Ovis aries: one gene and its partners. The protein of the gene in region 1 interacts with the protein of each later gene in a pairwise test. Links are inferred from orthologs where the notes say so. Each region holds a gene or a part of one and is shown in the gene's direction. Other genes may lie near its edges.

The links.
Region 2: the proteins of EFHC2 (region 1) and COPE interact in binary tests that used the Homo sapiens proteins (3 or more experiments, as listed by UniProt). The two-hybrid records come from large-scale screens. The link is inferred for Ovis aries from reciprocal best matches to the Homo sapiens genes EFHC2 and COPE.
Region 3: the proteins of EFHC2 (region 1) and TSSK3 interact in binary tests that used the Homo sapiens proteins (3 or more experiments, as listed by UniProt). The two-hybrid records come from large-scale screens. The link is inferred for Ovis aries from reciprocal best matches to the Homo sapiens genes EFHC2 and TSSK3.
Region 4: the proteins of EFHC2 (region 1) and CCDC120 interact in binary tests that used the Homo sapiens proteins (3 or more experiments, as listed by UniProt). The link is inferred for Ovis aries from reciprocal best matches to the Homo sapiens genes EFHC2 and CCDC120.
Region 5: the proteins of EFHC2 (region 1) and LONRF1 interact in binary tests that used the Homo sapiens proteins (3 or more experiments, as listed by UniProt). The two-hybrid records come from large-scale screens. The link is inferred for Ovis aries from reciprocal best matches to the Homo sapiens genes EFHC2 and LONRF1.
Region 6: the proteins of EFHC2 (region 1) and CACNB4 interact in binary tests that used the Homo sapiens proteins (3 or more experiments, as listed by UniProt). The two-hybrid records come from large-scale screens. The link is inferred for Ovis aries from reciprocal best matches to the Homo sapiens genes EFHC2 and CACNB4.
Region 7: the proteins of EFHC2 (region 1) and PLOD3 interact in binary tests that used the Homo sapiens proteins (3 or more experiments, as listed by UniProt). The link is inferred for Ovis aries from reciprocal best matches to the Homo sapiens genes EFHC2 and PLOD3.

Annotation. Positions count from the first base shown.
Region 1 is NC_056080.1:43,390,445-43,394,664, reverse strand, and holds part of EFHC2 (EF-hand domain-containing family member C2), read left to right. Parts: intron 1-1,417; coding exon 1,418-1,560; intron 1,561-4,026; coding exon 4,027-4,220. UniProt on the Homo sapiens protein: Microtubule inner protein (MIP) part of the dynein-decorated doublet microtubules (DMTs) in cilia axoneme, which is required for motile cilia beating.
Region 2 is NC_056058.1:4,124,080-4,128,299, forward strand, and holds part of COPE (coatomer subunit epsilon), read left to right. Parts: intron 1-339; coding exon 340-421; intron 422-1,447; coding exon 1,448-1,603; intron 1,604-2,781; coding exon 2,782-2,850; intron 2,851-3,969; coding exon 3,970-4,044; intron 4,045-4,190; coding exon 4,191-4,220. UniProt on the Homo sapiens protein: The coatomer is a cytosolic protein complex that binds to dilysine motifs and reversibly associates with Golgi non-clathrin-coated vesicles, which further mediate biosynthetic protein transport from the ER, via the Golgi up to the trans Golgi network.
Region 3 is NC_056055.1:235,203,775-235,208,685, reverse strand, and holds TSSK3 (testis-specific serine/threonine-protein kinase 3), read left to right. Parts: upstream 1-1,862; 5' UTR 1,863-1,959; coding exon 1,960-2,104; intron 2,105-2,942; coding exon 2,943-3,607; 3' UTR 3,608-4,519; downstream 4,520-4,911. Other genes in the region: protein FAM229A, read right to left, coding at 747-849, 1,024-1,170, 1,252-1,388. UniProt on the Homo sapiens protein: Serine/threonine protein kinase required for spermatid development and male fertility.
Region 4 is NC_056080.1:56,040,357-56,043,462, reverse strand, and holds part of CCDC120 (coiled-coil domain-containing protein 120), read left to right. Parts: intron 1-23; coding exon 24-86; intron 87-364; coding exon 365-539; intron 540-675; coding exon 676-774; intron 775-1,959; coding exon 1,960-2,874; coding exon of another isoform or gene 2,875-2,896; exon of another isoform or gene 2,897-3,106. UniProt on the Homo sapiens protein: Centriolar protein required for centriole subdistal appendage assembly and microtubule anchoring in interphase cells. Together with CCDC68, cooperate with subdistal appendage components ODF2, NIN and CEP170 for hierarchical subdistal appendage assembly.
Region 5 is NC_056079.1:23,391,439-23,396,323, forward strand, and holds the start of LONRF1 (LON peptidase N-terminal domain and RING finger protein 1), read left to right. Parts: upstream 1-1,685; 5' UTR 1,686-1,738; coding exon 1,739-2,480; intron 2,481-4,885.
Region 6 is NC_056055.1:157,736,511-157,740,730, forward strand, and holds part of CACNB4 (voltage-dependent L-type calcium channel subunit beta-4), read left to right. Parts: intron 1-274; coding exon 275-426; intron 427-2,477; coding exon 2,478-2,573; intron 2,574-4,220. UniProt on the Homo sapiens protein: The beta subunit of voltage-dependent calcium channels contributes to the function of the calcium channel by increasing peak calcium current, shifting the voltage dependencies of activation and inactivation, modulating G protein inhibition and controlling the alpha-1 subunit membrane targeting.
Region 7 is NC_056077.1:35,922,195-35,925,635, forward strand, and holds the end of PLOD3 (multifunctional procollagen lysine hydroxylase and glycosyltransferase LH3), read left to right. Parts: intron 1-294; coding exon 295-399; intron 400-915; coding exon 916-1,062; intron 1,063-1,494; coding exon 1,495-1,620; intron 1,621-1,964; coding exon 1,965-2,120; 3' UTR 2,121-2,410; downstream 2,411-3,441. UniProt on the Homo sapiens protein: Multifunctional enzyme that catalyzes a series of essential post-translational modifications on Lys residues in procollagen. Plays a redundant role in catalyzing the formation of hydroxylysine residues in -Xaa-Lys-Gly- sequences in collagens.

The DNA of each region.
Region 1 (4,220 bases):
CACCTTTCACTAGCTAATATCCACAGACATACTTCTGCTGACACACCATAAATTAATTTATTCCATAACCAGGCAGTCAATTTGGGGAACTTTAGGTTCTAGAATTTGATCTCATCATCAGTCTTCAAGACTATTCTATTCACACATAGAATTCTAAGTGCAAATTCCAATCTACATGGATCTTATAACAACTTTCTACAAACATACATTAAGTACTTAGAATTCAAAAAAAAATGTTGTATTAGACAACGATTAATAAGATGCAGTCCTTGCCCTCAGAAAAGAGACTTGTAACAGCAACTTATGATATGGGTGATAAGTGTTATGAAAGGTCTGTCATATTTAATATAGCATTTAAAAGGGAAAAGGGAAATTTTCCCTTGAAGGGAGTTAGGGGGCTGCTGGGGAACTGGGAGAGTGACTTGGCAAGGAGACGATGTGAGGTTGGAGGAAAAATAAGGAATGGGCTTGAGAAAGTGGGCAGTGAAGTGGGGAGGTTGCTTCAGGCACTGGCAAAGCACAAACTCTTGCCTCCTGGCGCAGCAAGGCCCAGGCGCAGTGCTTCTAGCTGACATGGTTGCTGTGATTATTGTCCAACTTGTGAGCAGAGAACAGCCATTTAATGCAGATGGTTTGAGCAATGTGTTTATGACATTTGTTTTGGGTACGTTTTCCCAATGTGTTACCCTGGACGTTTTCCCCTGTGTTAACCTGGACAAATGGGTGTGTGTGTGTGTGTGTGTGTGTGTGTGTGTGTGAACCCAGACTATTAATGGCCCAGAAAGCCAGACTGAACAGTCTAGGTGGTATGATCACAAGCAGGGAAAATGCTAAATGTTTTCTGAGTGCTGGGTCTATTGTGATAAAAAGAGTGTTTAGAACTCTTTGAAAGAGAACTTTGAAAGAATAAGAGATATTTTAATAAACTGGGAATATGTCTCTGCATATAGATTTAGAGCCCTAATAAGAAAATGGTTGAACTTTTTTTTCCAACCTCTGAGAGTTTATGCCCCTGTCTTAAAACCATAGTGCACTTGGATGGGAGGTGGGTAAAAGGGGTCAAGAGTATACACTTTCAGTTATAAAATAAATAAGTCACAGGAATGTGATATATAGCATGGTGACTGTAGTTAATAATACTATAGTACATATTTCAAAGTTGTTGAGAGAATAGATCTTAAAAGCTATCATCACAAGAAAAAAATTTTTGTAGCTAAGTGTGGTGATGAGTGTAAACCAGACTTAACTGTGTTGGTCATCTTGCAATATATACAAATATCAGATCGTTGTGTCATACACCTGAAACTAATATTATATATCAATAAAAATGGCATATATTTTGCAGGATTTTTTACATATGTAATATGCAAAAGATTACTTATATAATGCTATAACCTTCAATTTTTCTTCCATTTAGCTATGGCAACATAAGCAATATACTCCGATTTTTTGCAAAACTAATCACACACAAATGTGCTGATGCGGAAAGGATGTTTGTTATTTCATATTTTCTCCGTGATGACACAATTTCAGTGTTTGAACCCGTAGAGAGGAATTCAGGTAAGAGACATACTACCCATAGCAATTTCCTCAGAACAGTGAACTGTCTCTTCATGTTGAAAGTTATATAATATAATCTCATTTTTGTAGCCTATGATCTAAAAGAGTGGCTTTCTTTCTTTTTCTTTAACCACTAAAAGTTCATTTTACAAAGACCTCTTAAATGGGAACCCAGACATATAAAATGGTAAAAGAGGAGTAGTTTTGGTTGGCTGAGGACTGGGGGATTCAGGACACCTCCTTTTTGACACTGTCCCCACTTCCTCTGTGGTCTCTGAGGCACCTCTGTGGAATCCAGTGGCTTCAAAATCATGGTCTGGCTGCCACAAATTCTGTGTACAGCTAGCAAGACAAGAATAAAATCTGTATTTGTGATAATATCACTTACAAAATAAGACAAGAATCCCCGATTAACAAATTTAATCTTCAGAGTCTATTTCCCTCTGGCTGTTGAGGCTGGTGCCAAGGTTCCAGCACCAAGGCCCATGGGATGGCCTTGCTGCAGTGCACTGATAGGGTGGCCATTGCTGAGGAAAGCTATTGATTTTGACTTAGCAAATTATGGAACTGTAGGGCTCTATCCTTTGTCTCAACATGTTTAAAATTTTTATCAATGCTGAAGATACACTTTTGGGAAGAATAGTCAGTGGTGTACTGGTTAACCGGCTCTCTGAAAAAAATTTAAAAGCTCTATTTTGTACCGTTTGTCAATTTCCATGATGTAAATACCCAAACCATGGCTAATTTCAAGCAACCAACAGTCTAACAACTGGCTTTCCAAATCTCTGAACATTAAACTATCAGCCCTTATGAGCTGGTAGGAGCCGCTCAGTACACAATGAATCACGAATAATTTGTATAAGTAAGTCAGGCTCCACTTATACAGATATGAATAATGGACCTTAAAATATGAAGTCAAATAGGGATGCCTATAAAGTCATGCTCCTGAAAGTCAAAAAATCACCTCTGTACATCTAGAGTAGGGATGATATGGCTAAACAAATTGCAGCATTCATAAAACAGGGTGATAGCAGTCAACTAGAAGCTTGCTGGTAATAACAACAGCCCTGGCTGAGTACCTCCTGTTATCCTTATAAGACTTTTATGAGGTTAAGTCTTGTGTTAATCTAGGTCCTTAAGAGGCAAAGCCCAGGATGAGGTACAAGAGATTTATTAGGGAGATGGCGGGTGAGGGAAGACATGGCAGGAGCCAGAAGAGGCCAGGAGCACTGTCAGACTGCAGTGTGTGTGTGACTCCTGTGAAGGACAGAGGAAAGAGGAAAAGGGAAGGTCTTAGACCACAGTGAAAGTCTTAAAATTTTGGCAAGGCTGACTGGGCGTTCTGGAGCCAGAGTCACCAGTGCGAGGAGCTCCCATCTTGCCTGCCTTAGTCTGCCTACCTTGCTCAGTCATGCGTTGGCAGCAGCCTGTGGGAAGCATGACCTTGGCACAAATCTGAGGATAGATTGCAGAACATAGCAGTTGGAGCCTTCTGTCAACTATGTTCCCCACAGCCAGCAATCTGAGAAGTACATTTTCATAGCCCCCCACAAATATTATTCCCATTTACCAGCAAGAATTTGGAGGGGCTCAGAGAGATTAAATGACTCCTAAAGATCATCCAGCAAGCAAGCGACAGAACCAGGATGGACTCCAGCTCTCTTTGGCTACAAAGCCTATGTCTTTCCACCACCTCTGGTTTCTGAATGTGGTAAAAGCGTCAGGAAGCTGCTCCCCAGAGCTCACCTGGTCCCAGGATATATCCACAGGGTTGGAGATTTCAGTTTGGTATCAGTTAGAAGATAGTGGAGTCCCACATTCAGCTCTGGTCACTGCTTGCCAAAACCCAAACAATGCCAAGAAAAGGGCAGAGGAAATGATGAGAATTCTGAGAAGTAAAAAAAAAAAAAAAAAAAAAAAGAATGGAGCATTATTTAAATATTTTGCCTGTAGAAACAAAGAGTTAAAGGAACTCCTATAGTTATCTTCAATTAAGTAACACCTTTCCAGAAATGGGGCATCTTTACGTTTCATCTGTATGTCAGAAGATGTGTATAAGACATCATCTGGGACAAATAGGTGGAAATAAACTCAGGTGAGAAATTTTTTACCTGATACAGTTCAGGCAGGCTGAGAAGATGTTCCTGTTGTCTCAGTTTCCAGGATGCTTCTGGACATAGACCAAGTCCTCGCTAAATGTTTAAGTGTTTGGATTGGGAAGGGAGAAGATGGAGAAAGAAAAGGCTGGAATGCCATGCCACTTTTCTTCCTTACACACTCACCTAGAAGTCTCATTTCTCATCCACTGCCTCATTCTTCTTCCCTTAAAGACTGACTATACATAGTATGAGTTCACAAGTTCACAGCTGTGGTCTGTGTCTGAGCATGAAGTATCTCTAAAGGCAAGTTGTCTGGTTCTTTGAGAAACAAAACCTACTCATTAACTTCTTTTCTCCTTTTCTACAGGGTATACTGGAGGGATGTTCTTAAAAAGAGTTCGTGTTAAGAAGCCTGGACAAGAAGTCTTTAAAAGTGAATTCTCAGAATATATCAAGGCTGAGGAGCTGTATGTTGGAGCCAAAGTGGACGTGAATGGCTACCTCTTTCTTTTGGTCAATGCTGATGAGTATACCTTGAACTACATGGAGAGGCATTCAGAT
Region 2 (4,220 bases), on another chromosome or scaffold:
TCTGTCTTCAGTGGGGACCCCCCCGAGCACGCCCCCTGGCTCAGATCATCAGCAACGCGAGTGTTTCTCCATGTAGTGCGTTCTGGTCCACGGGGGTGGCGGCACCACTGGTTGCCTGCCCGGCCCTGCACGGTGCTGCCTGGGGCGAGGGGCGTTGCTGCCGGTGCCTCAGCTTCCTTCCGTGAGGCTGGCAGCGGGGCCCGGCCTGCAGGGTGGGGGTGGGCTTCAGGCGTGTGCGGCCACAGGGGCTGCCAAGGCCTTGTGAGCAAGGAGCTCGGGCAGGGGTGGGGGACAGCGGCCGGGCCCCGCAGCCACTGGGCACCTCTCCTCCGCCCCCAGGAAGGAGCTGAAGAAGATGCAGGACCAGGACGAGGACGCTACGCTCACCCAGCTGGCCACCGCCTGGGCCAGCCTGGCTGCGGTGAGCCCCTGCCCAGCCTGGGTGGGAGCACGGGGGCAGGAGCAGCTGGGCTTCACGGACACCCCGGGCCTCGTGCTTTCTTGGGGGCCAGTCTCCCGGAAGAGCCCAGGACATTTTCCCCATCACTCAGCCTTGACCCCTTCTGGCTTCCTATAGCCCAGTAGCTTGGCCAGAGCCAGGGTGAACCGACTGGGAGGCTCGGAACTAGACTCAGCGTGCCTGTTCCTGCACGCTCTCCCACTCCCACCCGAGTGCGGGGAGCCAGCCTGGCAGCACAGACTCCTCTGGGGCCTGGCCCCAGGCTCGGCTGCTGCTCAGCTTGCTCTCCAGGCTCCTGGCACAAAGCTGGGGCCTGAGTCCTCCCTCGCGTACTCCCTCCTCGAGCCTAGCCCCGCTACCCCCACATGCCTGGGCTCCCCTCTCCTGGCAGCAGCCCCATTTCTGTCTTGGGCTTTTAACTTCCTTTCTCTGAGTTCACGCTCTTGTCCAAGCTTTTTAAAACGTGCTCCTTGTCTGCGTGCATCTGCACGTCGTTTTGCACGGCTGAGGCCTCACCCTGTAGGATCCATTCAGTGCAGGGGACACACCCCAACAGTCCTGTCTGTAGCCTTGCAATTGTTCACAAGTGCATCTCCGTGTCAGGCTCCCCTGCCAGTGTGACACTGTGTTTCTCCCAGGCAGACAGAACCTGCTATTCAGAATGTGGGCGGGCGGGCTCAGGACCGACCATGGAACAGAGGCTGGTGGGCCGTGTGTCCCAGCCCAGACCTTGGCCCAGCTGCCAGTGCATTGATTCCTCTTCCTCAAAGCTGAGCCTTTCAAGACCATAAACTGAGGGCTTGAGGGAGCCGAGTTTGAGGGGTCTGGACACTGCCTCGGCCCCTTCACAGCACAGGCTGCTCAAGGGCCTCTGTGTGGAAGGGGGCGGCGTCCCCAGGGTGCCTGCCCTGAGATCCATCCAGGAGGGAGCAGGCTGGGGCAGGGCAGCAGGGTGACAAGGCGGTGATGTCCCAACTGTCCCGGCAGGGAGGTGAGAAGCTCCAGGACGCCTACTACATCTTCCAGGAGATGGCTGACAAGTGTTCGCCGACCCTGCTGCTGCTCAACGGGCAGGCAGCCTGCCACATGGCGCAGGGCCGCTGGGAGGCCGCTGAGGGCGTGCTGCAGGAGGCGCTGGACAAGGTAGGGGCAGGCCCAGCCCCACCCCAGAAACAGGTGCGGCAGGGGCCCCACACCGGCCTGCTGGCCAGGTGGGGATTCTCAGGCTGACTCAGCTAAAAGTCGGGATTGTGAACCGCAGTCCTCATTCTGACTTCTCTTGAAAATGGGAGGATCCCGTCAGCCCAGGCCTGAGCTAAGCAGACACATGCCTCGTCTTCTCACTGATGCCGCCGCTGCCTGGCCTGGGCCCTTTCAGGGTGATGACCCCTGGCCTGGATCTGTGCTTGAGAGAGACCCCCACCGTTGGCTGCTGAGGAGCGAGCACAGCACACACACAGTGTCGCCTGTGCCCGTGCTCGCTGAGCGGAGGCCCCGAGCGTGCCGCCCGCGGGGGCTGGGGGCCGCCTTAGTGGCCTGCCTTCTGACCGAAAGCTGAGGCGGGTTTGATACAATGAGAAACTGATGCCAGTGGGCAGCCCCTCCCTCTTCCCCTCTGTGAGGGGCCAGGCTGTCACGGCAGGCCATTGGCCATGCAGAGACAGGCCACAGGGCGGTGGTGGGGTCATCAGGCTGCGCGTGTGGAGCTGTGCCCTGTGCCAGCCAGCGGGCAGGGTCCCCACGGCCCCTTGCGCTTGCGACATCCCGGGCAGCATGTCCCTGCCTCGCCCCCCCCATCAGGGCCTTCGGGCTGGGGTTCCCGGCCAAGGCAGCAGCCAAGCCCGTTCCCAGGATTCCCCGGGCTTCAGCGCCCAGTGTGGGCGGGTGAGGGGAGGTCAGCTGCTTGGAGGTTCTGGTAATTTCCTGCAGTTTCCTGTCAGGTCCCCTGGGGAGTGGGCGGGCCCTACCCCACGGTCTCAGGCCTCACGGCTGCAGCGGGAGGACCAGCTCGCTGGGCTGCGATACGTTGAGGCTCCCTTGGCCTAGACTCTGTCACCTTAAGATTTGTGATAAATAGGCCCCTTGGAAACTGCAGCAAGCGGAGTCTCCGTGTTCAGGCCTTGGTTCAGGAAGCACCAAGCCCCTGGGGAAAGCAGCTGGTGTGGGGAAGCAGAAGGGAAGGCTCCAAGCTCACCACCTGGCCAAGCATCCAGTCACGGGGCACACTGCATCTCGTAGCCCCAGCCCTGTCTGAGTTGGGGGTGAGTGGGCCAATCCAATGGCCTGGAGAAGCTGACCCTGCCCGTCTCCTTTGTTGCCAGGACAGCAGCCACCCTGAGACGCTGATCAACCTCGTCGTCCTGTCCCAACACCTGGGCAAGCCTCCTGAGGTAGGCCCCTCCCCGCCCCCAGCCAGGTGCAGCACCTGGGCAAGCCTCTTGAGCTAGGCCCCTCCCCACCCCAAGCAGGTGCAGCAGGGTTTTCTGGTCCTCGCAATGCCAGCCTGGTGTGGGCAGGGGTCTCTAGCAAGGCCCCAGCTCCACAGGGAGCTTGAGGTCACGGAGTCTGAACTTCAAGGCTAGCCTGGGGTTGGGGCAGGAACCTGCTCCCCATGAGTGGATGCGGCTGTGGTTGACCCGGGGGAGTTGGTGGTACAGTCACTCCCCCAGGGCCCCCACCCTGCCCGGAGCTCTGAGAGTCCTCTGGACATGGGGGCTGAGGCTCAGGGCTCGCAGGGTGGGAGCCAGCCTGTGTCACCTCACAGTCAGGAGCAGGCAACAGGACAGAGAAGTGGGGCCCAGGGGAGCCATCCCGGTGAGCCTGTCTCGTCTGAGAGTGCAGGGGAAGGATGTGGGGCACTGCCCGTTAGGTGCCAGGCCCAGGCGGCCAGGGGCCCGCCACCCCAGAGCTTCATGGGGGTCTGTCCCCAGTGCCTATGGAAGGGCCCACTGGCAGCCTCAGGGCTGGGGTGGTGTGGGACAGATAGGACAGCGCCCCCACTCAGCACAGAGACACCCCCAGACTACCAGTTTGGAAGAAGCAGAGCTGCACAGACGCCCACAGCCCTGTATGTCAGGGCTGGGCCCGGGGGTAGGGCCAGGCTGGGTGCGAGGCTCTGTCTTGGCCCCAGTTGCCATCCCCAGGCCTCTGAGGTGTCTCCACACAGTGCGCCCAGAACAAACCCATCTCGTTTCCCACCCCCATCCCCCGACCTGCCGTCTACTCTGCCTGGCCCCCTGCCTCTCCCTGGGCCTGGGTCCCCACCCAGCCCACATCCCTGAGCCTGGGGCATCCCTTCAATCACGTGCAAGTACAGGCTCCTGGCCCCACCCTCCAGGGTCCCCTCTAATTCAGCATGATTCCGGGGTGTTGGGTGATGGAAAACCTTTGGGGAAATTGGGGCTCTTGCTTGGGTCTGGCTGGGTGGCCCTTGTTTCATCCCATTCTGCTTTCCAGGTCAGAGCCAACGTGGGGTCCCCGTGTTTAGCTAACCTTGCCTCCTCCCACAGGTGACAAACCGCTACCTGTCCCAGCTGAAGGATGCCCACAGGTCCCACCCCTTCATCAGGGAGTACCAGGCCAAGGTGAGCCCTTGTGGGTGGCCCAGCTCTGTGCCCCAGACCCCGCAGGCTCTACTAGGCAAGGTGGGGACTCGGGGCCTGGCTCACAGGTTTTCCCGTTTCTCTGTCTTTCTGTACCCCTCCCCCTGCACCCCCAATTCACATCGAAGGAGAATGACTTTGACCGGCTGGTGCTGCAG
Region 3 (4,911 bases), on another chromosome or scaffold:
AGGCTCAGTTCCCTCACCTGTAAAATAGGAATAAGAAATCAGTTTTTCAAGACTTCTTCCCCAGTCTTTCTCTGACCCCACCAGTCCTTAGGAGAAACCAGGGGTGGAGATGGTGGGGGCAGCTCCTAATCCCTCCAACAAAGCCAGAAAGGCCCAGGGTCACAAAACAGAAGTCAGCAAAAACCAAACCCCATCTTTGGAGAATTAAATGGGCCCGGGGTAGGTGGCCATTCTCTTTATTCTGAGTTGTCTGTCCATCTCCTCCAGTCTCAAGCTTTTCTGGGCCCCCAGAGTCCAGCACAGTAATGCTGATTTTCCTGGAGAGACCAAGGGGAGTGTCAGGGAGAAGGATGAGGGCAGTGCCCAAGCAGAAGCACGGCCCTGGAGGGGGTCGTGACCAGTAACAAAAAAAAGAGGGGAGGGTTTGGTGCCCAGCCAGAAGCAAGCCGACCCGGAGGGAAGGGCGGGCCCCTGGGGCTGGGCCCAAGGGAGGAAGCAGCGGAGGGAAAGGTGATATTGGATGGGGCGGAGCAGCCGGCGGGCCCGAGCCGACGGGATAAGACAGACACGGCCAGCCGGAGTGGAAAGAACAGTTTATGCTGTGATTTATTAAAATGTGCATCATTCTTTTATTTTAAAATGTGCATCATTGTCTCGTGCTCGGCGCGCGCGCGACCTCAGCGTGGTGGCCCGCGGCGGGCCCCGTCCCCGCCCGGCTCCCGCGGAGCCGCCTTGCGCAGGCGCGCTCAGGTGGCGCGGGCCCGGGGGCTCCCGCCCATGGCCAGGTAGACGTCGATGGGCACGTGCAGCAGCGTCAGGCAGTGGCAGCCGGGGCAGCGTCGAAGCGGCCTGCGGAAAGCGGGGCGCGACGGGGGGCGTTGAGGGGGCGGCCGGCCCCATCCTGTAGGGGGCGCATCAGTCCCAGGGGTTCGGCCGCGGGTGCGGGTTGGTCTGGGGACGGAAAGCCGGCAGGGGTGGGGCCGCGGGCAGGGGCGGGGCCGCGGGCAGGGGCGCTGGCCTCACCTGACCGGGTTGTGCTCCGTAGCTACCGGCTCCGGGCTGTCCTGGGACTCGGGGGCGGCGGCAAGGCCAGGGGAGTCTCCGGCCTCAATGGGGAATCTCCGACCCTGCGGGGGCTCCTGGGCACTCATGTCCAGGCCCCGGGGCGCTCTGCGCGGGGAGTGGCGGTCAGGCCGCTCCCGGGCGGCCGGGAGCCCCCTCCCCGCGCCCGCCCCCCGGGCCGTTGCTCACCTGCCGGAGGCCGAGGCCGGTCCCAGGCTGGAAGCAGCTGCCCGAGCCCTGGCCGCGGGAGGACGCTCCGGTCCAGGCGGAGCCGGGCAGGTGTCTGCGGCGCGTCCCGGCCCAGGCGTCGAGGGGACGGGCTGCATTGTGACCCGGGCCGCGGCGCGCTGACCTCACAGAACCCGTTCCTCCAGCCGGGGAACCCCGCGCCGCCCGGGCACTTAGCGCGGTGGCGAGCCGGGAGCTGGAGGGCTCTGGCCATGGGTCGCGCAGACCCCCTGCTGCCCGATGGGGGCGTCCACGGAACAGAGCCTGGCATCCCGGGCCGAGCGCAGACATCGCAGCAACCCCTACAGGCGGGGCTACGACCCACTGCCTGGCGCGGGGGCGGGGCACGGAGGTGACTTAACCCATGCTGGGTTTTGCGGTGGTAGTGGTGGTGGTGGTGAGGGCAGATAGGGGCATTGCCCATTTTGGCCCAGGGTCACACAGCATTTACATCACAATTGGGCCAGAGTTTTAAAATGTCTGACCCTCTCCCTCCCCACCATCCGCGGCTCCTGTGTCCGGACGGAGAATGTTGTAGCGCTGGGGGCGGCTGCGGATGAAGTCCTTGGGGGGAAAAGAAGCGGGCCGAGGGCGATGGTGGAGTAGCGCTGCCTCGCAGAGGCAGCATGAGCTGAGAGGGTGATAGGAAGGAAGGAGGTGCTAGACAGCATGGAGGACTTTCTGCTCTCCAATGGGTACCAGCTGGGCAAGACCATTGGGGAAGGGACCTACTCAAAAGTCAAAGAAGCAGTTTCCAAAAAACACCAAAGAAAAGTGGCAATTAAAATTATAGACAAGATGGGAGGGCCAGAAGGTGAGCTGGGGCCCCTTTGGAGGAAGGGAGGGCTGGCTGAGGTGGGTGGGTGCTTCCTCCAGTCAGAAGGATCAATTCCCTCCTCCCCTTTAGTCTTAAACTAAAGAAAGCAAGAGAGGCTGTGGCTCTGGGGTCAGTCAGTGGGGAACAGAGAAAGTCTAGGAAAATCACACCTTCTGAAAGTCCAAAATGAATGTGGCAGGCAGTGAGTGAAGTCGCTCAGTCGTGTTCGACTCTTTGAGACCCCTTGGCCTGTAGCCTGCCAGGCTCCTCTGTCCATGGGATTTTCCAGGCAATAGTACTGGAGTGGATTGCCATGGCAGGCAGTGAAGGACCCTCAGAAGCAGAGTCAGAGCCTACTACGCCTTTCTTATTCTAGGAGGTCAACTGATTGGTCAGGCCATGGCCAGGGCTAGCAGAGGGCAGGAACCGATGCAAGGGAGAGAGATGGGGAAAAGACAGGGCTCATGGAAAGAACGGCAGCTCAGGGGGCACAGGTGAGAGGGGCTAGCTTACCACGCTGTGGGCAGATCAGGCCTCATAACTGAGTTCAATAGATTTGTCTAAAAGTTCCCACAGGACTTTGCTATCCATGGTCTCACAGGCTGCTCACAACAGTCCCTGAGGCTGACGGACTAGTTCCTTTGAATAATATATTAACTACAAAGACAGAAGTGAACGCTCTGCAGTGTCCAGGCGGTTTGACACTGAAGGCTGTTAAAGGGAACCAAGGCCCACAACCCAGACATGGTGGGCAGACAGAAGTTGGAAGACAGAGAGACAGAGGGAGGAGTTAGGCTCTTCTGGACTTGACTCTCCATCTCTTTTGTTTCCTTAGAGTTTATCCAGAGATTCCTGCCTCGGGAGCTCCAGATTGTCCGTACCCTGGACCACAAGAACATCATCCAAGTGTATGAGATGCTGGAGTCTGCCGACGGGAAAATCTACCTGGTGATGGAGCTGGCTGAAGGAGGGGATGTCTTTGACTGTGTGCTGAATGGGGGGCCACTGCCTGAGAGCCGGGCCAAGGCCCTCTTCCGTCAGATGGTCGAGGCCATCCGCTACTGCCACGGCTGTGGTGTGGCCCACCGGGACCTCAAGTGTGAGAACGCCTTGTTGCAGGGCTTCAGCCTGAAGCTGACAGACTTTGGCTTTGCCAAGGTGTTGCCCAAATCGCGCCGGGAGTTGAGCCAGACCTTCTGCGGCAGCACCGCCTATGCCGCCCCCGAAGTGCTGCAGGGTATCCCGCATGACAGCACGAAGGGTGACATCTGGAGCATGGGCGTGGTCCTGCACGTCATGCTCTGTGCCAGCCTGCCTTTTGACGACACAGACATCCCCAAGATGCTGTGGCAGCAGCAGAAGGGGGTGTCCTTCCCCACTCATCTGGGCATCTCGGCTGAATGCCAGGACTTGCTCAAGCGGCTCCTGGAACCAGACATGACTCTCCGGCCTTCAATTGAAGAAGTTAGTTGGCATCCATGGCTAGCAAGCACTTCATAAAAGCAATGGCAAGTCCTCCCCAATAAAGTAGGGGGAGAAAGCAAACCCAAAAACCCGCTTCTAAGATGGTGATATCTATATTTTACACTTTAAGTCTACTTATCCTAAACTTACCTACACCCTCCCCAGCTTTACTTCTCTTTCCCTTTAAAGATCTTCATGGAACCAGAGGGCCTCATTCAGACTTCCCTTTTATTATGGCTGACAAGTGATTTTCATACAGGTGTTTAACTAAAGTTACTTAAAAATAGACCCCAGAATCATACACATACAGGGGGAGGAGAGAAAAATAACCAAGAACAGTTGGAACCACTGTTGTTGCACCTTCCTTTCCAAATAAAAGCAGAAGCGTTGGGAATGCAGAAACGGCCTCTTGACTCCTTGTCTTGGTGAGAGGCCTTCTGGGGGCCCTGTCCCTTCCTCACCCCAAAGGCCAAGGTGAGTCTGGGATGAAGACAAGGGACCTCCTTGGAACGCAGGCTACTACCTCCCATCCTGACCCCTCCCCCAGGCTCCAAGCAGGAGGGCACCCTGCACACCCTGTCTTGCCCTGGCTCTGGGGCAGCTGCTGTAAGGGACAAGAACAGAGCTCCAGACACCTTCCAGCTTCTGTTGAATCTCTTTAATAGCTGTTAACGGCAAGTCTGGAAAAGGTTCAGGACAAAGTTCTTTTTTCTTTCTTTTTTAATTACAAAACTAACAGCTGTTAGAGTCTTTTTTTTTTTTTTTTCCTTTTTTCTTATCCCAGCTACAAAATACTCTGGGGAGATACATTATAATTTAAAATATATAATATTGCACAAACAACCAAAAGGTTAATTAAACTAAAGAAATAATTACAAAGAGAAAAATCCTATCCCATGAAAAAAAAAAAAAAAAAAGATTCAGCATTCTCTCCATCCCACCCCCTCATTGAAGGTTTGAAGTGGAAGTGACCACCACTCTCTTGGCGTCCCTGACCACGATCCCTTTAAATCATTGGTGAACACACCAGATTATGTACAAGAATCACCGGAGCAGCATCGTGAAGCACCAGGGTCTCCAGGGATTCCTGTAGCCCCTCGTCCCCCCGAGAGAGGTGCAGCTTTACCAGCGTGGAGGGTGAGAGCCACCAAGACTGGATCTGCCTTCAGGAGGAAGAGCTTTTACAGAAGCCTGTCGAGAATCTCAAGCAGCTCACCCCCAGCGTATCCCTCCAAGAGGCAGAAGGGTTGAGGCGGAGAAGTTGGGCTTACCGGAGTTGTAAGTACTCGGCTTTGATCACTGCTCTGTACCGCTGGTAGCTGGCTTGTGTCCTAAGCTAC
Region 4 (3,106 bases), about 13 Mb from region 1:
GGGTCTCTGCTTTTCACCTGTAGAGGATGTGGTTCTGCACTCAGAGAGCAGCTCCCTCTCAGAGTCTGGGGCCAGCCACGATAATGGTGAGAACCCTTGTCCCCTAAATTCTCCCGTGCTCTGCATCGCCCCTGCCCTCCCTCTTCAGCCACACCCCATCCTCTGGTGGAGCTCCCACCTTCTTCACTTCACCACCCTCTCCCCTGTCTCTCCCATCAGCCCCAGTTCCTGCCTGCCTCCCTTGGTTCCTCCTCTACCTGTCCTACCCTGCTTAGCCCTCTGCACCTCCCTAGCCCCTGCCCTTGGCTTTGTCCACAACCCTCCCATTGAATCCCCCCTTCACCATTTTCTCCCTTCTGCTCAGAGGAGCCCCGTGGCTGCTTCCCTCTGGCTGAGCGCCCCTCACCGCCCAAGGCCTGGGACCAGCTGCGGGCAGTCTCTGGGGGCAGCCCTGAGCGGCGAACCCCATGGAAACCACCCCCATCAGATCTTTATGGGGATCTGAAGGGCCGGCGAAACTCTGTGGCCAGCCCCACCAGGTGAGGGTGAGCCCCTCCACTCCTTCCGCACAGCCAGGAGTGGGGGCTGAGCCTGGGTGGGCAGGAGGACCTGCTGGGAGGTACGGTCTCTAACCTGGCCCCCGCCCCCACCCTGGGCCCGCATGTCTCTGTCTAGCCCTACACGCTCACTGCCCAGGAGTGCCTCCAGTTTTGAGGGGCGAAGTGTGCCTGCTACTCCCGTCCTCACCCGGGGCGCTGGCCCCCAGCTCTGCAAGTAAGTGGACTCTAAGGGTGAGTTTGAGGACCAGAGGAGGGAACTGGTAGTTCTAACAGGGGGTACTGGGGAGAGTATTTGGATTCCAAGAGTGTAGGACATGAAAGACTGAGCTTTGAATCCATCAGTTTTATTCTGATTTTCTGTGTAAGTTGTATGAAGAAGCAAGAATTTTATTTATGCTTTAGAACTTTTGTTCATAATGCATCCTATTACATGATAAAGAAATATAGGTAAAATATATTTTGAAATATGCCATACATAATGTATGTGTAATATCACATTATAAATAAATTTTTTAATTGACCAAAAAAAGAAAAGAAAGGCTGAGCCTTGAAAGTTGAATAGGAGTTGTCTTGGTGCTATATGAGCACCCCCAGCCAACCCCCGCCTTGGAGAAAGAGGGTGGGGATTTGGGGCAGAAGCATTGAAGTTTGAGTATGGGCTTTTCTGTGCATTTTGGGCAAGTCATTTCCCTTCTCTGAATCTTGGTCTCCTCATTTGTAAAACAGGCATATCAATATCTGTCTCTGGAAGAGGCTGTAGGCATAAATGAGTTCTGGTTAACATGTGCTGCATACCTACCATCTGCTAGGAATCAGTACTTGGTATCAAACTCATTTAGTTATCACAACATCCCTATGAGGTAGATGCCGTTATTCTCATTTTAGAGATAAGAAACCCGAGACACAGGTTAACTAACTTGTTGGTAAACCAAAGACCTGGTATTTGAACCCAGACAAATTTGACTCAAGAGTCCATGCTTTTAACCATGGTAGTCTCCTAGTCCTTAAACAAATACGTACTTACCAAGTGCCTACTTTTTCCAGGCTGTGAACAAAAGTCCCCATCCTTGTGACGCTTGCATTCTATGAATAGTGACCTCCCCTGCTAGCATTTCCTCTGGAGTCCCTTGCTTCCATCTCCCTCGGAGCTTAACAGCCCCAGGCACCCCATACATTTTCAACCCCTCTGCTCCCCAGTCCTGGCTAGGGCCTCTGCTGCTCTTAATGTGCCACTCCCTAACGCCTTTACACCCCATTTCTAGTCCGGGGCCCATTTTGGAGTGTGAAAATGAAGGCCCAGAGAGAGGCGTGTGTTGGGGGAGGGGTTGCGGAGCGAGCTTATCCCATCTGCCTGATATTTCTGACCCTTCTCCCATCACCCCCACCTCTGTGCCCCTAGACCCGAAGGCCTCCATTCTCGCCAGTGGTCCAGCAGCCAGGACTCCCAGATGGGCTTCCCGCGGGTGGACCCTGTCTCCGACCGCACCTCCCTCTTCGCAGCTCGCACCCGCCGCAGCAATAGCTCCGAGGCCCTGTTGGTGGACCGGGCAGCGGGTGGGGGAGCTGGGTCCCCGCCCGCACCTCTGGTTCCCCCTGCCACCGGTCCCCCAGTCTGCAAGAGCAGTGAGGTGCTATATGAGCGCCCCCAGCCAACCCCTGCCTTTTCCTCCCGCACGGCTGGCCTCCCAGACCCTCCCCGGGCTGCCCGGCCCAGCTCAGCCGCGCCGGCCTCCCGCGGGCCCCCCCGGCTCCCACCCGTGTGTGGGGACTTCCTCTTGGACTATTCCCTGGACCGGGGCCTGCCCCGTGGGGGCAGCGGGACAGGCTGGGGGGAGCTGTTGCCGGCAGCTGAGGTTCCAGGACCCCTCTCCCGCCGCGATGGGCTCGTCGCCATGCTCCCAGGCCCACCGCCTGTGTATGCAGCTGATGGCAGCAGCCCCCTCCTCCGCAGCAAGGACCCCCATAGCCGTGCCCCCCGCACCAAGCCCTGTGGTCTGCCCCTGGAGGCCGCTGAGGGCCTGGAGGCGCATCCCAACCCTCTACTGTGGATGCCCCCACCCGCCCGTATCCCCTCGGCCGGTGAGCGCAGCGGCCACAAGAACCTTGCCCTGGAGGGGCTGCGGGACTGGTACATCCGGAACTCGGGACTGGCCTCGGGGCCCCAGCGCCGGCCTGGGCTCCCTCACATGGGCCCGCAGCACCCGCCCTTCCTTCATGCCCGCTGCTATGAGGTGGGCCAGGCACTGTACGGGGCCCCCAGCCAGGCGCCGCTCCCACACTCGAGGAGTTTCACGGCGCCCCCTGTCTCCGGCAGGTATGGGGGGTGTTTTTACTGATGGGTAGGGGTCTCTTGAGGCAGATGGCAAAGGTGTCCAGGCCAAGGAGCAGCTAGTCATGGTAGCTAATGACAGGGACCACGAAAGAAGTAGCTGCAGCCTTGGCCTGTGGTCCCTGGGCTCTGCCTGACCCGCATTAATTCGTGGGGCCTCGGCAGAGGGGTATCTTGGGCCCCGGTAGCAGCAGTTCTTCACCGAACTATTCAAGAG
Region 5 (4,885 bases), on another chromosome or scaffold:
AGTTGCATAGTAGTGTCTGACTCTTTTTGACCCAGTGAACTGTAGCCCACCAGGTTCCTCTGTCTGTGGGGATTCTCCAGGCAAGAATACTGGAGCGGGTTGCCGTAACCTCCTACAGGGGATCTTGCCCACCCAGGGATCCAACCCAGGTCTCCCACATTGTAGGTGGATTCTTTACTGCCTGGGCCACCAGGGAAGCCCCTAACAATTTAGTACCCTACAATCAAATCTATCAATACTTTCAACAGAGAGCTTTAAACTGGTTGCCACCAAGTTTCAAGGAAAGATAACCCATTATACAAAAACCAGATCATTTTCCTTCTCCTGTGGGCAAAACTGCAGACCTTGCTTGGGTTGCAGTGATATGGTAACTGCCTCGTGAAAAACATCCATCCTGGCGTTTTCTCTTTAAAAAATGCCAAATGTAGGCCTTAGCCAGTTGTGCAGTAGTAAATAAACTGTGGAGAGGAACCTGTGGGCTTCCTCCCTCGAGATGGGGGACTGAGTTTTAAACTAGAAAAGCAGCAGTAATTTGGCACCAAGCAAAATTGTCTTACACTCTTCAGGGAGTCATGTCAGGTAGGTAGTGTGTGCGTAGAATGTTAGTTGCTCAGTGTCTGACTTTGCGACCCCATGGGCTATAGCCAATCAGGCTCCTTTGTCCATGGAATTCTCCAGGCAAGAATACTGGAGTGGGTTGCCATGCCCTTCTCCAGGGGAGCTCTTCCCGACTCAGGGATGGAACCCAGGTCTACCGCATTGCAGGCAGATTTCTTTACCATCTGAGCCACATTTCGTTCCTAAAGTTGACCTGCTCTAGACTTAGGGAGTCACAAAGTCGTCCCACTGACTGTGCGCTTCCCTGAGACCTCGGCCTCTACGTGTCCATCTGTAAGTTGGGCATGAAAGTAAAGTCGCTCAGTCGTGTCCGACTCTTTGCGACCCCGTGGACTGTAGCCCACCAGGCTGCTCTGTCCATGGGATTCTGCAGGCAAGAATATTGGAGTGGGTTGCCATTTCCTTCTCCAGGGGATCTTCCCGACCCAGGGATCGAAACCCAGGTCTCCTGCATTGCAGGCGGACGCTTTAACCTCTGAGCCACCAGGGAAGTTGGGCATAAACCAGTAAAAATGCAGATGAGCACCGGACCGGTGGTAAACTACACTGGGAAGATCCCAGGGGACAGGAACGGGGGGGCGGGTCCCAACTTAGGTGGGTGTTTATGTCAGGAGAGGGATGGTGATTTGGGCCTCAGCCCAGCGAGGCCGGCTGCCGGGCGGAGAAGTGCCAGCGAAGAAGGGGTTAGGGGAGAATCTATGACTAGGGGTGGGGGTGAGGGCCCCGCGGAGCAATCAGGTGGGGGATGGAGCCTCGGGCTCCTCCGTGCTTTGTTCAGTTACAAGCCAGGCCCCTCTTTCCGGAGAAGCCAATTAGATCCCCGCCGGGGGATCATCTGACCTCGCGCCTCCCGCCGGGAGGGGCTTCGACAGGGGCGGGGCCGGCGGTCGCCTCCTCCGGGACCCGGCCGCGGGCCGTGCGGGGGAGTCCCGGGCGCCGCCGCGCAGCCCGTCCCCGCCCCGCGCCCGCCGCGCCCCGCCCTCGGGGCTTCCCGGGCGCGCGCCGCCCCGCCGTGTCCGCGCGCCACGCCCCCCTGCTCGCGGGCCGCGTGCGGAGCCGCGCGCCCCGGAGGCTCGGGGACCGTGGCGGCGGGCGGCGGCAGAGCAGCCGTCCGCGGGCCATGTCTTCCCCGGCCGTAGCGAGGAGCTCCCCGGGAGGGAGCCAGGAGGTGGACTCGCGGCCGCAGAGGCAGGGCCGGTTTTGGGAAGTGGGCGGCGGCGGCGGCGGCGACCGGCTGGAGCGCGCCGCCGCGGAGTCGGAGCGCTGGGAGCTGCTGCTCCGCCGGGGCGAGCTGCTGGCGCTGGGCGGCCACCTGAAGGGCGCGCTGGAGGCGTACGCGGCGGCGCTGCGCCGCGGGGCCCCGGTCAGGCCCGAGTGCCTCGGCACCCTGGTTGACTGCCTGGTGTTCAACTACCGGCTCCGCCACGGTTTGGGCTGGAGCGCGAGTCCGGCGGGGGGCGCCCACCGCGGCGTTAGCGCCGGCGGGCTGCTTAGCTGCCTGGGCTGCCGGGGCTTCCTCAGCGAGCCGGTGACCGTGCCCTGTGGCCACAGCTACTGCCGCCGCTGCCTGCGGAGAGAGCTCCGCGCGCGCTGCCGCCTCTGCCGGGACCGGCTGCCGCCCGCCGCGGCTGCCGATGCCCCGGGGACCTCCCCGCGGCCGCCTCCGGCCGCCGCCGCCACCGCCACCGCCACCGCCACCGCCTCCTCCGGCTTCAGGACCAGCGTCGTTCTCAACCACCTGGCCGAAAAGTGGTTCCCGGGCCAGCGGGAGCGAGCCCGGGCGGCCGGCCGGCTCGGGGAGCTGCTGCACCAGGGGCGCTACCGGGAGGCCCTGGCCGCCGCCTGCGAGGAGCTGCGAGCAGGTGAGCGCGCGGGCCCCGCGACCGCACCCTTCCTTCCCAACGCGCGGGGCGGCCCCAAGCTCGTCTGCGCCCCAGGCCAGCTGCCTCCCAGGGCTTGCGTCTTGGGGTCCCGGGTTGTGTGTGTTTTGGGGGGTGTGTGTGGGAAGGGGCGGCGCCCCGAGGTGCTTCGGTCACAATGGGGATCGCCCTCGAGCCGACTGTGACGCGGCGCGGGGTTTCCTACGCCTCGGCCTGGCGCTGTGGCGGGCGCGCCCCGAGTGGAGCGGCGCGGAGCGGGTGGCCGGGCGAGGCCGCGCGAGCGCGGGATGGGGAGGGTGTTGGGCGAGCCTGAGCGTCGGCTCGCTTCCTGCCGCGCTCTTTCCGGTAATTGGCCGCCCGGGCCGGGTCCGCCGCGGGGAGACTCCTTGCCGGGGCGGGGAAGTGGATCCCCAGCCGAGGATGGGCGTGCAACGTATATACCTTGGTCTCCCGCAAAAGTCACCGGGGCAATTGGAAGCCGCGGGAGGCAGAATTGCATAAGCCGGGGTGGGTGGGGGTGGTGGAGGGCGTTGTGTAACGGGTGACGTCGGGTGGGCGTGGCGGGAGCTGGGCGCCCGCACCCCGCACCCGGAGGCCCGGTCGGAGCTGCCCAGGGTTGTCCCAGTCTTGAATGAGAACGCCCAGAGACTTGCTGCCTCTTGATGGTGTCCACCTGTCTGTTTCACAGCGTGCTTATTTCAGAAACGCTTGTGCTTCCTTTCGAATGCACGTAGCTCACGGTGAAGATAATAGAGGTAGTCTCTGATGGAGTTCGTGGCCACGCTTGTGTTTGCCTTTCCACACTCTTGATCAAGCTCTGGCGGCGAAGGGCCTCTGAAGATCTTTGGTCTGTTCTTTCGCCGCCAAGAAGCAGTTTCAGCCTGCTAACCTAGGCTAGCCACTCTTCTTAAGGTGGTTTGGGGCTGTGGAAAGAGACCTTGGCGGAGGTAGTTAGCTGTGTAAAATGAAGCGTTGTAAAATTGGTGGTTTTCTACCATGGGTATTCCCTCCACCCCCACTCTTGGGACGTTATCAGGGGCAGTATCTAGAGACGTTTTTGGTGGCCACCCCTTGTGCGAGTGGAGTGGTGCTGGTACAAAGAGTGGGCAGAGGCCACGGAGGCTCTTTCCGTATCCAGTGATGCGCGGGACGGTTTCCCACACAATGATCAAGGCCTGAAGTGTCAGTTTTGTCCTTGTTAACCCTTGTGTGAAGTAAGCATATTTCAAGGTGGAATAGAATAATACTTGGAGAATTAACCACCAAGGAAGTAGAATTAATCACCAAGAAGATAAACTGATGTGAGGTTTGAGGTGCATTTATAAACTGTAACTGAAAGCATCTTGGGAGCTTTTTTTTTTAACCCTAAGCGCTCAGTCATTTTGAAGTAGTCATCATGTTAAGTCGTTGAATACCTTTAGAATTCAAACCGCAAACTTGGCATGCTTTCATATACTTTCAGTATCTTTACGGGCAGTAGCAGTTATAGAAGTAGCATGATAGACCCAGAACAAAACAGAACTATTTGGAAGACAAAATTCCTCAGCAGCTCATTCTCTCTGGGTGAATCGAGTTTGGATGGTCAACGAAGGACAGACCATCTAGGACACGTTCCTCAAAATGAGGAAGCAGAAGCTGGGGCAGTGACCCGACTGGTCCACAGTCACACATCCAGCTGATGTGTGGAGGCAACAGTGTGTCCTGAATTTCTCCTAAATGTTGGATCAGGATTCATCCTACCGTTAGGGCTCATCCGATGAAAATGTGTAGCATCAATTCCCAAGGAAGTTTTTTGCCACTAGTGTGAAATAAAGGAGAAACTTACTGACAGCCCTATTCATTATTAACTCCTACTGATTTAAATGGTTTGACCTCTTAAATTAGGCTTTTTGAAAAAACTCAGGTCCTAATCCACAGAAGAACAGGGAGTATTTACTAATTAAGATCTAGCTTTGCGTTCTATGACCGATAATGTTTTTAATTAAAGAAGATTTGGGCCTGGGATTGAGGATATTATTTTTTAACAGGAAAAGATTGAAATATCTACTCTTTCTCCTTTTTTTTCAATTTGCATAGACTACATGTGGGAATTTTGTCCATTCAGCTGCTTCATTCTACTTTTGCAGGACTAGAACCCAAGACTCCTTTGACTTCGTCCATCTTCTCCTCAGTTTTAGGTCTTTGAAAAATCTGTAATTCCATACTCCGAAATGTGTCTGATTGGTACTAATGAGGATAACTTTTTTCATCCTTTGAATCTTTAGTACAAAGTAGGAAGAAAAAAATCTTAGAGCTAACAAATTATAGTTGATGGAGCGCAGATATTATGTGTTTAACAGTTTATGAGGGTAAATAAAAAGGTTTAGTAGAGTTATAAATCTACTTGT
Region 6 (4,220 bases), on another chromosome or scaffold:
CAACATAGCTATGTCAATAGCTAAATATTAGAGTGAGTGTAAGAAGCAAATCCAGTGCACCATCTCAGTTTTTTCCACCAACTGTTTAGTTTTGGGTAAAATTCAAAACCCATCTCTCTTTGGAAAAGATCTTAAGTTAGACAGAACTATGAAAATTCAAAATATTCTGTTTTGCAATGTAGGCTAACATATCTGAAACAGGTACTATTTTTTAAATATAGGAACTAATTAATAAAAAATACCGTGACCTGTTATTTGTTATTTCTCCTTTTAGCGGAAGTGCAAAGTGAAATTGAAAGAATCTTTGAGTTGGCAAGATCTTTGCAACTGGTTGTTCTTGATGCAGACACCATCAATCACCCAGCACAACTTATAAAGACCTCCTTAGCACCAATTATTGTTCATGTAAAAGTCTCATCTCCAAAGGTAATTAGCTCATTTCTGTCTTAAGATTTAGAAGGTCAGTTTCTTTTGAAACACTCTTCGCTCTGTGCATTTTTGTTTGTGGCAAGGAAAATGTCTTTTTAAGACCCTTTTAATGAATACTGTTTTTGATTCACCTGGTCTGTACAGGTTCTTGAAGTTTTGAGATAGCAAATAAAGAATAATTTATTCCTTCAAGAAACTCACTGTCTGTGTGGTTCCCAAACCAGGCAGTTATGCAAGAATATAATAAAAAGCAAAAAAAAAAAAAAATCAAAAAACAGGAAAGATGACAAAAAGTTAAGTCTGGCTTTTCAGAGATTTTAGGTGCTATCTTGGTAAATCTCTTAGGTAAAATTGATTCTTATATCACCTATATTATCTCCTCAGCTGAGAGAGAAAATAGTTCAAGAAGTACACATATATTTACCATAAATCTAAAGCCAAACATCACTGTATAACATCTCTGGTGGAAACTTTATAGATCTGTGCATTTATGCTTAGGTTGGGTTCTTCAGGGCTTCCCTGATAGCTCAGCTGGTAAAGAATCCACCTGCAATGCAGGAGACCCCGGTTTGGTTGTCGGGAAGATCTGCTGGAGAAGGGATAGGCTACCCACTCCAGTGTTCTTGGGCTTCCTCTGTGGCTCAGGTGGTAAAGAGTCTGCCTACAATGCAGGAGACCTGGGTTTGATCCCTGAGTTGGGAAGATCCCCTGGAGAAGGGAAACGTTAGCCTGGAGAAGGGAAAGGCTAGCCACTCCAGTATTCTGGCCTGGAGAATCCTTCAAGGAAAATCATTATTCTGTGATGAAGCACAATGGAGTATCTGCCATGTATCTTTATGCCAATAGGGGAGATAAAAATAAAAGTGAGACAGCCTCAAATCGGTCCCTTTTTTCCCTTACAAACTTTTATATACCCATTTATTTATTTATTTTTAAATTGGTCCATTTTGACTTGGATTTTTTAAATTTTAAAAACTTGATGTTCTAAAAAGTGAATATGAATTGGATACCCTTGGGAGGTACTACCTTAACAATCAGTTTCTTTCCAGTGGCTCCAAGAGTTCATTTTCTTACTTAAATGCGTATTCGACTTCGAACCAGACCAGTAGTCTCCTCTCCCAGGGAAAGCATGTGCCCTTCCCAACCCTTCTGACTTCCATCTCTCCAGGCACTGGTTCTGTGCAGGGTGAGCCTGGAGTCCCGACCAAGCCAGGACCTTTGGGCAATCATTAGAATGGAGTGAAATGACTTTGACCACTTAGAGTTGCTGATCCAGAACTGAAGGGGATTCAAACACCCTTTACTGCAGCGGAATAGAGTTCAACCTTCTGGCCCCAATTGCCAGGGAGTCCACTAGTGCAGGAACTGGTCCCCTCGTGGATATATGTGCTGTGGTATCATAGAGCCTCATAGATTAGTACTGTTTCTGAGGAAGCATCCTATTTCTGCTAAAAAATAATTAAGGGAAAGAGGAGTAGATAGAAAAATGCAATTACAGCAGTGTCCCAAAAGACATAGGTATATCACTGGTTTATATGTAGCAATATACCAGTGCAAATGTTTTGCCTAGATTTCGAAGATGAAATTGTCCTGTTAATGTCAGATTAGACTGGATGCCTTAATAATTATCAATGACATAAAGAGAGTCAAATATATAAGTGACTCTGATATTGATCAGACATCAAGATAGTGAACCAAAATGCTACTCAACTGAATTTGGACATAAATGATCTGGTACAGATCAGTGCCTCCATTTTTGCAGGGCTCATTTTGAAATCTCTGGATAAAATCTAGGAAGGGTACTTAGGAACCCACCAAGACCTCACATGTAGCAAGAATAGGATGGACATATCAAATCCACTATAACTGAAAGCCAATGTAATTGAATGATGTCATTACAGAGTTTACATGTATACAAAACTTGTCATTTTGTGTTTCCTCCCTATTAAATACTCAGGGTTAAACAGACTCTGAAAAAGATGTCTTGATTTACTTGGTTTTCTTTCAACTTACTGATAGTATCTCAGATTCATGTCTTCTTCTATCAGGTTTTACAGCGGTTGATTAAATCTAGAGGAAAGTCTCAAAGTAAACACTTAAATGTTCAACTGGTAGCAGCTGATAAACTTGCACAGTGCCCCCCTGTAAGTACAATCATCTTTTTTGGTCTTAATCATTCTTGACTAGTTAGAAGAGGCTGGTGGGTTTTTATCATATTGGCATTGTCATTTTTATTCTAGAATGGTCATGATAATGGTATGTTGTCATAAACCTAAAGGATTTCTTGGAACAAACTGTTGTCACTTTGGCTACCCAGACATGCAAAGCTCGGTTATGTCTGCCACGTAATAAGAAATGAACTTAAGTGTCTGGGGTCCAATGTCCTTACTGCCACCTTGATTGCCTTGCAGACACTCAGCAAACTACTTAATGCAGTCATGTGGATGCTTTTATGAAAAGAAAACAACAAATAAAACACACCGATTTGACTTTAACTTTTCTGCTAGAAAGTTCTGATAGGCATAAAAGATTATGACACCGAAAACTGAGAATTTATTAGAACTAGAAGAGCCCTGTGGTTACTGCAGATGAAAAGGTCAAGGCTAAGTAAGGTGAAAAACTGTATTATAACAATTTTTCTTCTAATGCCACTGCCAGAGAACAGCTGCTGAGTTCAAAGCCGAGCAAACAGTGAGGAAGTGGGAGGTTGGGGGATGGTAACTGTGCCATGTGGGTCACCAGTGTCTACACCTGCTCAGCTGACTTACTATTTCTGTGCCTATGTTTCTCTAAAGGAAATAAGTGTTTGTCTACTGATTTAATTCACTAGGTTTTGTTATATACTTATGTAAGGATTGTTCATGATCTGTGGAGTCATAAAATCTAATTCAGATGTTTAGAGAAGCAACAGTGTAGCTGTTAAAAATATAGACTCTGAAGCTGACTGCCTGGGTTCAAATCTACCCAAGTCTATCACATCCCTAGTTATCTCATCTTGAGCAGATATCTGGTTGGATTGATATAAAGGCTCAGTGAGTGAATGTATAGTAAAGCTCTTAGAACAGTACCTTGCACGTAATAAGCAGCATCTAAATGTTTCTGTTATAATTTCTGGATGTACTTTGTACTGTGATGTGCCGACCTGTCAGACTCTGTGAGGATCTGTGCCTGTCAGTTTCACTGTTATGTCTCAAGTTCCTATCATAGTAGACCCACAATAAATATTGAATGAATGAAATGATGTAGAGGCAATAAGACTACAGGGTAAGAATCAGGATATACAGGCAGCACATTGGACGCTTACAATGGGCCAGACACTGTGCTAGATGCCTTACCTAGATTATCTCTAACCCTCACAATTAGTAAATTAAGCAGTATCATCCCCATCATATAGTTGAGTCAACTGAAGACAGACAGGTTAAGTGATTTCCCTAAGGTACACAGCAAATTAAGGTTAGATTTAGATCTTCCTGGCACCCAAGCCAGTTTCCTTCCGTCACAATCCAACCCACCTGTTCACACACCCAAACATGGTTACCTGCCTGCAGATGATTTTGATAGGTCAGAGTCTGGAATGCTATATAAAGAAGTCCAACTTCACATTGCTGACTACTGAAGTTCTCTCACACATGGAATCCATGCTTAAAGTACTGAGCAGATATAGAAGTGTATTACTCAGTCCCTGTAATACATCCCACGTGGAGGAAGCAAACCTTTAACTGAGAAGCTACCAAAAGACAGGAACTATGCTATTGTTTTAAATTTTTAGAACAGTTTTCTAGGGGTAGTTA
Region 7 (3,441 bases), on another chromosome or scaffold:
GACATTTTTTAAAACGAGGTTGAAAACCACTGTCCCAGAACCCAGGGCTCCAGCAACCGTGCTGTCTGTGCCGAGTTCTGAGCACTGCTCTCACCTTCTCTGGCCGCATCGGTCCCCTTCCTGACTCCCCCGACCAGCCCATCCCCACGCTCAGCTGCCCGTCCCTCCACGTTCTCTCCTGTCCTGGCTTACCTTTCTGCTCCCTGCTTTCTGTCTCCTCCCACTGGCTGCCTGTCCCCTTCTGGAGCATCACCCAGCCCTGTTTTCTTCTTCCCCTGCCCCGTCCTGACTCAGCCCTGCCCAGACGTGTACTGGTTTCCTCTCCTGTCTGAGCAAATGTGCGATGAGCTGGTGGAGGAAATGGAACACTACGGCCAGTGGTCAGGAGGCCGGCATGAGGTGAGGGGCCTGGACCGCGGAGGAGGGGGCCCCCAGGAGGAGGGAGGGGGCATTTCCCTGATTGAGGGAAAATGGAATCTGGAGAGTGGGAACAGAGAGGGGGTCCCCGAGCAGGAAAAGGCAGACAGGGGGCACCTCTGTATTCTTTCATTCCACCGTGCATTCAAGAAATACTCCCTGGGCAGGTCCTTAGACACCAGCCCCTGACCTGGACGTGCAGGTGGAGCTCTGCCCTCCACAGCCCCACCTGCCGTCAGTAGCAGCAGGGAGCTAGCTTCTGAAGTCTGTGATGGACAGCCTCAGTGCTGCGGGAGTCACAGGTGGGAAACTTGACCCAGATGCGGGGGGACCGAGGGCTTCACAGAAGAGGTGACATCTTCGCTGAGACTTAGAGGAAGGAGGTGTGAGTCAGCTAAGACGTGGCGGAGACTTCCAGAAGGAGGGAGCGCAGACTTCCAAGGCCTGGGAGCAAGAGGAGGAGAAGTTGGCACCACTGCGTCAGCTCTGTACCCACAGGACTCTAGGCTGGCGGGAGGCTACGAGAACGTGCCCACTGTGGACATCCACATGAAACAGGTGGGCTACGAGGACCAGTGGCTACAGCTCCTGAGGACGTATGTGGGACCCATGACCGAGAGCCTGTTCCCCGGCTACCACACCAAGGTGGGCCACTGCACGCCACCCCTGCTCCCTCCTCCGCCTTCCCACACCTGTGCTGGCTGGACGGCTCCACACAATGCCTTTTGGCCTGTGAAACATTTAAATAGGCCCCATAGAGTGAGATCCGGGCTCCCCTGGTGGCTCAGATGGTAAAGAAGCCGCTTGTGATGCAGGAGACCTGGGTGGATCCCTGGGTCGGGTGGATCCCTGGGTCGGGAAGATCCCCTGGAGGCGAGCACGGCAGCCCACTCCAGTGTTCTTGTCTGGAGAATCCCATGGACAGAGGAGCCTGGCAGGCTGCAGTCCATGGGGTCGCAAAGAGTCAAACACACAGAGTGAGACCTTGCAGGAGGGAAGCTCTGGGGGAGCAGCCCCCAGGGAGCAGTGAGAACCCTCCCGGCCATCCCCCCAGCCTCTCCTCCCCTGTGCCCGCAGACCCGGGCGGTGATGAACTTCGTGGTCCGCTACCGACCGGATGAGCAGCCCTCTCTGCGGCCGCATCACGACTCATCCACCTTCACCCTCAATGTCGCCCTCAACCACAAGGGCCTGGATTATGAGGTGAGTCCCTACCCTCCACTCAGGGTTCCCCCGGGCCCCTCCACACACACAGACACACACGCACTCCCCTCCCCCAGGCCCTGTGTCCAGCCCCCTCACAGGCACGGTCACCTCCCTGCCCCTTGTCTGCCCTCGTCACATCTCCCAGTGACCTCTGGGGTCATATTCTGGACCCCTTCTGGGCTGGCTACCCCCTGTGTCCTGTGTCCCCCATCTGCCGATGCTCACCCCTCTTGTCCCCTCCCTCCCTGATGCCCAGTTTGGCCTCTCTCGCCTCGGGGCAGCTCACCACCCAGTCCCCACGTCTGCGCACTCTCCAGCCCCTTCCCCTCTCGTCTCTCCAGGGAGGTGGATGCCGCTTCCTGCGCTACGACTGTGTGATCTCGTCCCCCAGGAAGGGCTGGGGGCTCCTGCACCCGGGCCGTCTCACCCACTACCATGAGGGGCTGCCCACCACTCGGGGCACCCGCTACATCATGGTGTCCTTTGTCGACCCCTGACACTCAGCCACTCTGCCCAGCCTTCCGTGCCATCGTGCCTTCCCGCGCCCTGCCTCCTGGGGCGGGGTGGGTGTGGACTCCTCGCCTCCTGGGTATATGGGGTCTGTGTGCCTGGGACTGAATGTGTCGCCTCGCTGCCCACCACACGGCCCTCAGGAAGCTCAGGGAGCCCCCTGTCCTGTTCCCCGGTCCCCAAGGGCTCATGGGGACAGGACCTCTGGGGGTTCGCTACATGATAAATTATTGTTTCTCAGTCTCCCTCTCAATAAAGGAGGGTTTGTAATTCTTGAGCCCATTTATTGTTTCATTACCTGTGGACCCCTTGTCCATCCCACCACCCAGGGCAGAGGGGACACCGAGGGTGACCCCAAAGGAGAACTGAAAAGGAGAAATGACAGAAACGTGATATTAGAGCAGAGTGGGAATCTAGAAGCTTCCTTGTCATTCCAGAGCTCGGGAGGGGTGTGTTGGAGGCCAGACCCAGAGAAGGACTTCCCCTGTCAGGATGAGATGAGAGGCCCCCACTCCCGCACAGCCCCCAAACTGTCGTCCCCTATTCTCTCCTCACCTGATGGCATCTTCTCCCATGCAGAAAGGATGAGAGAGGCACAGCCCTGAGCTAGGGTCCAGGGATAGTGCTGGGACACGCATTGTAGGAGGGAAGACAGGGTGGAAACTTATTGAGAGCGCTTGGACCTCAGCTTTTAGTCACATGGTATCAGGAGAGGGGAATCTGGAGGGTGAACCCAAGAAAGCTTCCTGGAAGAAGGGGAAGGGAAGCAGCCTTGAAAAAAAAAAAAAGACCTCCTAGAGCTGGTTTTGCCTCTAGTCTCAAGCATCAAAAGCTTGCAGAGACCCCTGGAGGTACCCTGAGGACAGCAGAGCAGGCCCCTTTAGCCTGGTCCTCCCCAGCCTTACACCAGCTGCCTTCCTGTGTTGATCTCCCAATGTTCCCTGGCGGACGCCTTTTAAAAATCAAGCACCTGTCCTAGGACATTTCCAGCTTCTAACAGTCCACTTGCATCCACAGCTAAATTGTCCTTCCTTCCTCCTACCCAGATTCCCAGGAAAACTTCATGCATGAAACCATCCTTCCATCCTTCCTGGACCCCTGGGTGGGTCACCTTCCCACGTGGACTGAGCGTCTCTCTGGCTAGACTCTAAAGTTCATCTCACCCAGGCCCCCACCACCCTCATCACTTGCCCTGTGATGCGAGTGGGCTGAGCAGGGATAGGAGGAAATATCCCTCTTAACAGAAGGTCCCTGGTCAGTGAAGCTGCATAGGTGTGAGGCCAAGGACAGGGGCAGAAAGGGTGTGTC